3 linked regions of the Arabidopsis thaliana genome follow. The protein of the gene in region 3 interacts with the protein of the main gene of each other region in a pairwise test. Each region holds a gene or a part of one and is shown on either strand. Other genes may lie near its edges.

Region 1 (3,258 bases), about 15 Mb from region 3:
CATATAATCAGAAAGATTGAGTTTTAATAGTAATGTATATTTGTATTTTTGCATTTGTTATCAACTTTTTTTTAAAATACGGATGGACTTTTAGGCCCTAATCAAATGTTAATGATTTGAGAAGTTTGGTTTCAGATTAGTTCTAGATCGCATTCGAATATTTTTCGGCTTATACTGTCATTGAGGCCCATTTCATTGATTATGGGCTGTTGACACAATACAATAAGAACATCGTACAGTTTCACTGTTCTCGTGGAAGGACGCGGATTGTTTTTCACCCAAGAAAACGTAGCGTAGTCCAAATTCTATCAGCAAGCCAGCTTCTGGGCAAAGAAACAAGATGAATTTCTAACTAAGGCAAAAACTTTCCTTTGTACAACGAAACTCAATCATCAGAGTGTTTGCTTAATTATGCAGAGAAGCCTCCATTCAGTACAGTTTAAAGAGCAGAACTTACTTCTTAACTTTATAAAGTAATCAGTACATCAAAGCTATTGATTAAAGAAAGGTCGAGCAAAATAAACTATGAATGAGCACATTGAGATTTCAGCAAAACCATATTTCATCTTCTCACTTTATGTATGCACAATCTAAAGCAAACGCCAAAAAAGGTTTGAGCTTTAGGAACCATTGTTCTCTTGCTGATCGAAGTAAAATAAGCTATGAATAAGCTATCAAGTTTGAGATTTCACTAGCAATCACATTCTCGCTAAATATATCTAATTAAAAGCCATTTAAAGGTTTGAGCTTTATGAACCATTTTCCTCTGCACTCTGCTGCTGATCTTCATGTGAATGATGATGAAGAACCCTGAACTGTTCTTTACCCATTTGTTGAAAAACCTGTGGATTCAAAACCCCAACTTGAGACAGCCTTAATTCAAGTCCAGGCGTTTGATTATCTCCAAAACCAATCTCTGGAACACCATTGAAATCAAACCCAATTCCGTAATTCAGATCAAACCCTCCAATGGTCTGTCCTGTTTCATTTCTCCACAACCCATTTGCCTCCATTTGAGTCCTTGAAGCTTCTTCAACGCTATGACAAATCATCAAATCAGCCGTGAGAGGAGGTTGAGAAACAACAGACTCAGTGGGTTTGATACCATTTACAGTAGCAGAGAGTATCGATGGCTCAGCATGTTGAAGCAACCATTCAAGAGTCTCACCATCTGATTTGTGACCTAATTCTTTAGTCAATTGATAAATCCTTGCTGCACAGAGTGGAGGTAACCTAACTCTACGACCTCTTCCTTCAACTTTAAGGTGACGATCTTTGTTTGGTTTCTTCTTCTCCTTCTCATAAAGAATCTGAATTTCTTGGTCTTCCTCTTCATTCTCCTTCTTCTTCCTCTTTTCGCCGACCACAATGTCGAAACCTTTAACCTCTGTTTGTTTCCTCTTCTTGTCGTTGTCCTGATTCTGTCGTGATGGGTTTAAGAAACTTGGTAGATTTTGGTTCTTCTTGGGCTCCATGACCATGTCAAGGTGTGGGGACGTACTTCTCTCTCTCTCTCAGATTCAAGGTGGGGCGTGTGTTGTGACCTCTTGACCTAAGTAAAAAAAAAGGGTAACAACTTTTTATTATTTTCACGCATTATTTTATTTTTTTTACATAATTAGAAGTTCTATAATCACGAAATATTCTTACTTACCGAATGAATTCCAATCCAAAGAAAAAAAAAAAAAAAAAAAAATAAAAAAAAAAATTCCAATCCAAAGCTCAATCAAATCAACATGGCAACATCCATGAGAGTTAACAAGGGCAAAATTAAATAATATGAAAACATTAGAAAAATTTAGTTTTGAGCATAAATCACACATTAAAAAGAATTTATTTAAATCAAAAGAGGTTATCAACATCATTAAAAACTAAGTTTTACATTCTTTCATCACTTGATAATAAGGTCAAAACTCAAAACAAACCTTTGTGTTTATGTTTTTTTATATCAGTTTTCGATTATATATGTTTAGTATGTTCTTCAATTGCATCCCTTTGATGAAAACTAGCTTTGTCCCAAATGATCATGTAAGATCCAAACTCCACCACACAAAACATTGAAGTTAATCCAAGAAGATTCTACATTTTTAAATACTTTTCCCAAGGTCTCTTATATACTGATTTATTCTAGTAGTAATTATTTGATTTCTTTTTCTTCCAAATCATTTAGAAATTTCACAATATAACCACCAACTTTGTAAGTTGTAACATAAGTGATAGAAATTAGATCAAACTCTTGTTAAAACTTGATAACGTCAAGAGCAATACGTTGGGCCTAGTAGTACTCAAGCCCCAAATATGGGTAGTGGGTCATTGAAGACCCAAGTTCAAAGGAATTTTTTTTAACAAAAGTAATTAAATACCCTAATCATCTCAAATTCATGAAGGAAGCCGCCGTATCCAAAAGCTCCTTCACAATCAATCTCAGCATCGCTGTGTCTTAAAATCACTCAATCGAAATTCGGATTTAGATTTGAGCGAAAGTCGCGGCGGTTTTTGTGATTAGGGTTTCGTAACCGTGTCCGCCGGTATATGAGATGGCTGAGGAGAAGAAGAATAAGAAGAAAAAGAGTGACGCTAAGGTTGATTCTGAAGAAACCGGTGAAGAATTCATTTCCGAGCACAGTTCTATGAAGGATAAGGAAAAGAAGAGGAAGAAGAATAAGCGAGAGAATAAGGATGGTTTTACTGGAGAAGATATGGAGATAACTGGGCGTGAAAGTGAGAAACTAGGTGATGAGGTTTTTATAGTTAAGAAGAAGAAGAAGTCGAAGAAGCCAATAAGGATTGATTCTGAAGCTGTTGATGCTGTGAAGAAGAAATCGAAAAAGAGAAGTAAGGAGACAAAGGCTGATTCCGAAGCTGAGGATGATGGTGTGGAGAAGAAATCCAAGGAGAAAAGTAAGGAGACAAAGGTTGATTCTGAAGCTCATGATGGTGTGAAGAGGAAGAAGAAGAAGAGCAAGAAAGAATCTGGTGGTGATGTGATAGAAAATACTGAAAGCTCCAAAGTATCTGATAAGAAAAAGGGAAAAAGAAAGCGGGATGATACTGATTTGGGAGCTGAAGAAAACATAGACAAGGAGGTGAAGAGGAAGAACAACAAGAAGAAACCAAGTGTGGATTCAGATGTTGAAGATATCAATTTGGACTCTACAAATGATGGAAAGAAGAAAAGGAAGAAAAAGAAACAAAGTGAGGATTCAGAGACTGAAGAAAACGGCTTGAACTCTACCAAAGACGCAAAGAAGAGAAGGA
Region 2 (3,760 bases), on a different chromosome or scaffold from region 3:
AATTTACATTCGGGAGAAAAACAAAGCAACAGACGATAAGTGTAAGATCCGGAACAAAACAACAACACATGAATATATTTATGGGCTAAAATGATAGAAAAGGAAAGAGGTTTACGTACAAAGTGGCTGCAGACATCACATTTAGGATGATATCTCTCCCTGTAACAAGCCTTGTGAAAAGGGTAGTTCCCTGATGTTGAAAACTATAGGAAAAAAGGGAAACACATTACAAAAGAAAATCTAAAGGTTAAGTAGAACCAGAAAGCAAATGAAGAGGATATGGAAGAGAGCTTGGTTTCACCTCGTACTCAGAAATCGGCTGACTGCAGCCATAACATCGAAAACATTCTGGATGCCATAGTGAATTAAGGCAATTCAGAAATCTTCCATGGCCAATCTCCATATTACAGCCAGCACAAATCCTATGCAGACAAGTTGTTGACAAGTTATTTGGCTGCTGGACACTAAACTAACACATCGACCAAATTAAGCCAGCTAAATATGATTGGCTATCTAAATACCTGAAATCCATTTGAAAAGTAATAGGTCTTGGATAATAAATATCTCCATTTGCATATACATTTCCTCCTCCATACATATGTCCATTCCCATATAAATCTCCAGCTCCATATGCATTCCCATTATCATATGTACTTCCACTTTTGTGACGGGGTGAATTCCCAACTACCATACTTTCTTGTAGGGCTCTAGCAAGTTGCTCATCTTCATCCACCGGCATCGAGTATTTCCCTGTGTCCATTACTTTTTTTAAAGGAATTGTAGCAAACCGAATCCGATAACAAAACCATGTCTTCATATATCTGTTTTGGCTAAAACAATCCTGAAAATGAACTCACCGCTTATACTTGTCTGTTCTTGATTCTCTTCTAAAAGCGACAATGCAATTGCACGGTCTATGTCTTCATTTTCCTGGTCATTCGATGTATTATCCTAGTAAAGAAAAACCACAAAAGTTGAAATAACAGTACAGACCAGAGCTATGATAAACCGTCAACTATATATGTGGTTCTTTTCACTACTTCATGATCCCCAAACTCACCTCAGATGTAGATGGTTCCTGAGTATGATGAGGTTCATCATTATCAGCATCTGTATCCGCCGCACTAGGCTCATCATCATGTGAAGCAGTCGGATAATTATCGTAATAAACATTGTGATTGTGCTTATTATTCCCAACCCGGAGCCTTTGGTTAGAGCCTTTAAAGATCTTGTTAAACCAACCCATAATGCCTAAATAAAACTATCTGCTCATACGGCAATGCAGCCTGCAAAATCGTCGAATCATCTCTGATTAGCAAAAACCCAAAACAAACTTGTTTCACTTCCAAACATCAAAAGCCACAGAACAATAGCACTTTGAATCTAACAACAATAACTAAACAACCCTAAAACCTGTCACCATTAAGCAAACGAGTTCCAAACGGATTTGTTTTTTGTTTTTTTTTTCAAAAAACCATGAAATTAGAATCCAGACATGGAATTATCAAGTAATTGCAGCTGCAAAGAAGCTAAAGATCGTCCCTTTACCTTGAGAAAATCCTGAATCAGATAAGATCCCAATAAGCTTCACGAAACCCCCACAAAATCCAGAATCACAAAAATGATCTAATCAAGCAAGGGAAGCAGCAAAAGAATCTCAAAAAGGACTCTTTAGTTCTCTCCTTTCTTCAAAATTTGGGGAAGAATCTATAACATGGGGGAAAAAAAAAAAAAAGAGAAAAGAAAAGAAAAAAGGAAATTAAACTTTTTTTATATAAAAGAATGCAACTTTGACAAAATCAATGTCTACTCATACACGAATAAACCCAGAATGTGCTTGAATTCTACGCTAATCCAAAGTCAAAAAATTTGGTGCACTCACAAAAAAAGAATAAAAATCGTATTTTTATTTAATGAGGATCACGAAGAAGAGATCGAGAGTATCGAATATTTTGGAACGAAAAAAACAAAAGAGGAGAAATGAATTAAAAAGTCTTCGTGTCCGAAGTTTTTTGGTCGTTGAGCTTGTTGAGCTCTTCTTCTTCTTCTTCCAGGAAAAAACGTTCCCCACGCTGTGATTTAGAGATAGAAAGAGAATTATAATTATACTATTACGCAATTTAAAAGTCAAATAATTATTTTGTTTTGGCAATTTCTTCCATTTTGCAACGTTTATGCAAATATCTAGATATTTAATATTTAATTATTGCTTCAAGCCTTAAACCAAATCTTCTACAAGTCGTAACGCATTTATCCGGATTGTCGGGTTCTAATTCTAATAAGATTTTATATATTTTTGCTAGAAAACATTAAATATATTTTTTTTATAATTTTCCACTAAATTGTAAAATTATTTATAAATATATATTTTCTTTATTACTAAATGATTTATTTCTAAAAGATTAATCTTTTAAATTTTTCATGCAATATTTATTGGATAATATTAGTGAATTGTAATTTTCTAAAAAAATAGTTAATTATCATTGATTTAGAATAATAGAAAATTGTAAAACACAAAAAATAATAAATTTATAATCAATATTTAATATATATATTTTTTTAATATGTGTGTTTTTCTAAACATCAAACAAAAACGCATAAATACAAGAAAAAATGTATAAATACTAATTAACTGTTTAAACCGTTGTTGTTTCAATTAATTGTCAAGTTATCGAATTTTAGTTGATAGATTTTTTAACCAATACGATAATTAGAATTTGATTTGAACCAAAATCTAGGCTCCCATAACTCACTCACATTTTATTGATATGAAAATAATATTATTTAACTTTTGGCTTTTCAGCGTGATTTGTAATTTTACCAATTGCCAAATAATTCAGCAGAAAGCTAAGAAATGAGAAGAAAAAAAATTGAAAAAGAGAAGTACATATAATGAATTAATGATGTTATTACTTATTCCATATCGAAAAGGTGACAACAAAGGAAAAAAAGTTGAAGAAAAGATTAGGAAAAAGTTGGTGAGGCGTGGTTTTGTTAAAATATTACAAGCAAACACAATTTATTAATTTTATATCATAACTTTAAATTAGAAAGTAAAGTATAGAGGTGAAAAAAGATATGGAAAGGAAATTTGTTGATTTATGCAAAAAGTAAAAGTTCAATCATGTTTACCTTATTGACATATTATAATTTAGCATACACGTACGATATACATTACATGAATTCATAAATTATAAACTACATGTATGAGTGTCAATGTCACAATGTGATATCGTTCATCATCACTTTACAATATTATTAAACGAATAATTTGGTAATTAAGTATGTGAATTTCTTCTTTATACACTCGCGGAAGTTACGGTGACCACGGAAAGTGATAGCTTTTATGGGCTTTCACAGGCCCGTTATTATTTTGAATGTAAAAAAATCGTATCTCGTTTATAGGCTTTATAAGCTCATATATGTAACAAATTTTTACTTCATTATGTTTCTAACCAGTAACCACGACCTTTATATAAACCCGCATACATTACTTAACCACTAGCCGTCTATTGGATCCGACGATTTAGCTATTACTACTATTACATTCTTGAGATAGCTGAGTTTGGGTTTGTCATGAACAAGTTGTTCTTTATGTATGATACAACTTGTATATTACTTCATACCTCATTTTGGTTTGTAATACTGAAATCATTTGAGCCTCGTTCTTTTTTTTACGAAAGCTCTACCAAACCATTCAACTAGTTAGCTTATATTAATTTTCATGTCTTCTGCTTATTTTTAACGTTCAATGAAGTTG
Region 3 (3,760 bases):
TTAAAAGTTAAAAACACGTTATTTTTGGTCCATATCGAAGACTTTTTACGTAGGGTCTTAGCTAAAATAGTGAAATTTGCATATTATTTTTTTAAGAAAATAGAGTATGAAATGTTGTTATCAAACGGATCCTTTACAATGAATGCAATCATCGAAAAAAAACCATAAAAATATTCTTAAAAAAATTATACACTATGAAAACTGTGATGTCTCATCTCTTTCAAGGGTTTAGGCTTAAAAGCTTCCCTTTTCTCTTATACACTGTCGTTAGTTTTAAATCTCATTACTTATCATCAATCTGTTCAAACCCTATCTACTTTTAACATAGAAAAAGATTCCTTTCCTTCCCTCTCTACCCTTCTCTCTCCATCTCTTACACTATTTACACATCAACAATTTGTTAAGTAGCAATTGAATATGAGAGAGAGAGATATAGGGAGAGAGATTGTGTGTAGAACTGCAAGTTAATAAAGAATGTGGGGGTAAAGAGTACACAGTAGATGAAGACAATGAGACTTAGTTTTCAAACTTCTTCTTTGCTTTGGCTTTTATTGGTCATATCAGACTCTTTATTTATAGATGATCTACTTAGCTCTCTGTGTTGATTCTTAGCTTTCAAAGGTAGCTTTTGGCCTCACCCTATATACTCTATACAGGTTACTGCACATATACATTGGTATGGACTTGCCACTAGTGCCAAACCTTTTGCACATTAATTTTCACATATATATAAGTAGATTTAGATGGTGTATATATAAGACAAAACAATAACTGAAAATCTTAGGACCAAGAATGAAGGCATAACCAAAGAAGGGGGGAACCACATTGTCAGTTTTTATGGAGTTTTTGGGGGACCATTAGTTTCGTTTCACTCTTTCTCTTTCACTTATTTAAGCTTAACTTTGACAAATACGTACCCCCACCTATATTACTACACGAAATTACAATATATTTATATATAAAATCTCATCAATTTCTTTTCAACTACATTTATGTTTCCATGTTTATAAAATTCAGTCAATTAAGACGGTGGTTTAAATGTTAAAGGCCACAAGTAGATTTATGTGAATGTTAAAAAGTCCCAAGTTTAGAAATTCCGTCAAATATAATTAATCCATGCAGATTTTGATTTACCATTTATTGGTTTACACTAGATTTTCAAAAGGAATATTTGGTGCATTCACACAAGGCTCAAGATTGTTTGTTTTTTCTTCAAAAAATATGATATTATCAAAACCTCTAATTTTGTAGCAAAATCAATTTTATTTAAATCTAAAACATGTATTGTCTTGGTTGGTTCACATCATCTTGCAAACTCTGTAACACTATAAATTGTTACAATTTGTATGTTTATCGAAAAAGCGCAACGATAATATTGACATAAACAAGTAGATTAGGTGTCATGATAGTATATATATTATAAAAAAACTAATACGAAAGAAAAAACAGTTTCCCGAAAATAAATTAAAAATTCCAAGTTTGACCCTTGGACACAACAAAATATATCAACCTATATTAATGTTAGAGAGATGATGGATGATGATTGATGATGTGCAAATGAGACAAAATTATATCACACTTTCCTTTTCAATCTTTAAATTCCAAAACAAAAGGTACTGTTGGGTTGCTCCCTTATTAGGTGAAAAAAACCTCACACAACACAGACAATTTCACTCTGTCTCTTTCACTACACCTCTATATCTCCCTCTAGATACATATCCCTATTTATATATGTATTGTTTCGAACACTGCGTGCTCTCACACTTTGTTACACCTCCAAAAGACAAAGTACATAGAAGAAGAAACTTCTTGTCACGCCTCTCTTACCCCTTCCCTTGTGGTCCAATAAAACCCTAATTTTCTTTTCTTTCTTTTATCCATTGTATTAGATCCTATATCTTTCTTCCTTATAGACCATCTCTCATGTCTTCTTATATATATTAAGATATTCACAAGAACTACAAAAGAAAGAAAGGAGATGGAGTGGTCAACAACGAGCAACGTAGAAAACGTGAGAGTAGCTTTCATGCCACCGCCATGGCCGGAGTCTAGTTCCTTTAACTCGCTCCACAGCTTCAACTTTGATCCTTACGCAGGTATATTCACACACCATCGTACCAAGTCTGCATATGTTACATGCTTTCGTTTTTTTTACTTTTAGATGTGTTTAATTCCATATTTGACGAATTCATGAACTTTAAAACCTTATTTATCCCACTTGCAAATGTTCTCAAGAAGTTTTTTTTTTTCTGTGAATGATGTAAAGAATTTCAAATATGACGTCCCTAAACTTCATTCCAAATGTCAACTAAAACGTTACTTTTCTGATGAGAAGCTAAGATTTTCTTATCTTCAGTCTACAATATCTATAAATAAAGTTTCTTACTTTTTTCTTGGGATCCTACAAAAACAATTTCTTGGGATCCAAATGCAAAAAGGTAAAACGTCACTTTTGAAAAGTTGAGATTCGTTTATGGTATAGTTCACTCTAAGAAAAATGGTTGCGGACATAATTTTATTCTTCTTATACTTTTGGAAGTTTTTTTTTTTTTTTTTTTTTTTTCGTATAATGATTATATTGTTGCGCTTCTATGTTTAAATATTTCCTTTTATCCTTTCGGGGCGTTTGCTAAAATGTTTAACAGCAGGAAATTCATATACGCCTGGCGATACACAAACCGGACCGGTTATCTCTGTACCGGAATCAGAAAAGATCATGAATGCGTACCGATTTCCGAACAACAACAATGAGATGATAAAAAAGAAGAGACTAACGAGTGGACAATTAGCTTCACTTGAGCGAAGTTTTCAAGAAGAGATCAAATTAGATTCAGACAGGAAGGTGAAGCTGTCGAGAGAGCTCGGTCTGCAGCCACGTCAGATAGCAGTTTGGTTCCAAAACCGCCGTGCACGGTGGAAGGCGAAGCAGCTTGAGCAGTTGTACGACTCGCTTAGACAAGAGTACGACGTCGTTTCTAGGGAGAAACAAATGTTACACGATGAGGTTTGTGTATTATATTGCACAAAATTAAAATCATGGGATCTAATTACATATTATCGTTTTCTTAATTTATCCCTTAAAGTCTTGATTCTATCAGATTGCCCCCCTTAAAAAATTGGATTGGTGGTGCAGGTGAAGAAGCTGAGAGCTTTACTAAGAGACCAGGGTTTGATCAAGAAGCAAATCTCTGCCGGGACCATCAAAGTTTCCGGTGAGGAAGACACGGTGGAGATTTCATCGGTGGTGGTAGCTCATCCAAGAACGGAGAATATGAACGCAAATCAAATCACCGGAGGGAATCAAGTTTACGGTCAATACAACAATCCGATGCTGGTTGCTTCCTCTGGCTGGCCGTCATACCCCTGATAGATGTTGCTGATCTCAGAGAGAGGGAAAGAGAATGAGAGAACGAGAGAAAGAGAGAGAGAGAGATTGTGTCAAATAGAGCTTTAGACTAGGACTTTAGTAGTGTTATAGACTAAGACAAGCTTTCTCTCATTGTACGATCTTAAAACATAAATGGCACGTTCTTGGATGCGAGATTGAGTCTGAAAATTGTTGAGTTGGTTTTGTTGAACAACTATACTATGAACACTCAGAATTGGCGAATGTCCGAAACAAAACTAGCTATAAACCAAAATAATGACGAGAGTAAACGAGATTGTACAAATCTTGACACTGATGCTCAGCATTTTCCGCTTCCCTTCACCGAACTTGAGACCTCTTGACGCAAAAAAAAGCTGCTTAGGCTTTGTGTGT

What was found.
Region 1: the proteins of HB51 (region 3) and AT5G41030 interact in a two-hybrid assay, tested with the Arabidopsis thaliana proteins (one large-scale study listed by BioGRID).
Region 2: the proteins of HB51 (region 3) and DA1 interact in a two-hybrid assay, tested with the Arabidopsis thaliana proteins (one large-scale study listed by BioGRID).

What each region holds. Positions count from the first base shown.
Region 1 is NC_003076.8:16,426,929-16,430,186, reverse strand, and holds AT5G41030 (TCP family transcription factor), read right to left. Parts: upstream 1,482-3,258; coding exon 750-1,481; 3' UTR 508-749; downstream 1-507. Other genes in the region: AT5G41025 (uncharacterized protein), read right to left, coding at 2,752-2,997, 3,236-3,258; AT5G41020 (myb family transcription factor), read left to right, coding at 2,538-3,258.
Region 2 is NC_003070.9:6,660,813-6,664,572, reverse strand, and holds the start of DA1 (DA1), read right to left. Parts: upstream 2,157-3,760; 5' UTR 1,549-2,156; intron 1,287-1,548; 5' UTR 1,247-1,286; coding exon 1,061-1,246; intron 952-1,060; coding exon 858-951; intron 751-857; coding exon 522-750; intron 423-521; coding exon 302-422; intron 204-301; coding exon 120-203; intron 1-119. UniProt on the Arabidopsis thaliana protein: Ubiquitin receptor that limits final seed and organ size by restricting the period of cell proliferation. May act maternally to control seed mass. Acts synergistically with DA2 to regulate seed size.
Region 3 is NC_003076.8:1,003,007-1,006,766, forward strand, and holds HB51 (homeobox 51), read left to right. Parts: upstream 1-1,775; 5' UTR 1,776-1,978; coding exon 1,979-2,096; intron 2,097-2,648; coding exon 2,649-3,004; coding exon of another isoform or gene 3,005-3,112; exon of another isoform or gene 3,113-3,133; coding exon 3,134-3,367; 3' UTR 3,368-3,625; downstream 3,626-3,760. UniProt on the Arabidopsis thaliana protein: Putative transcription factor.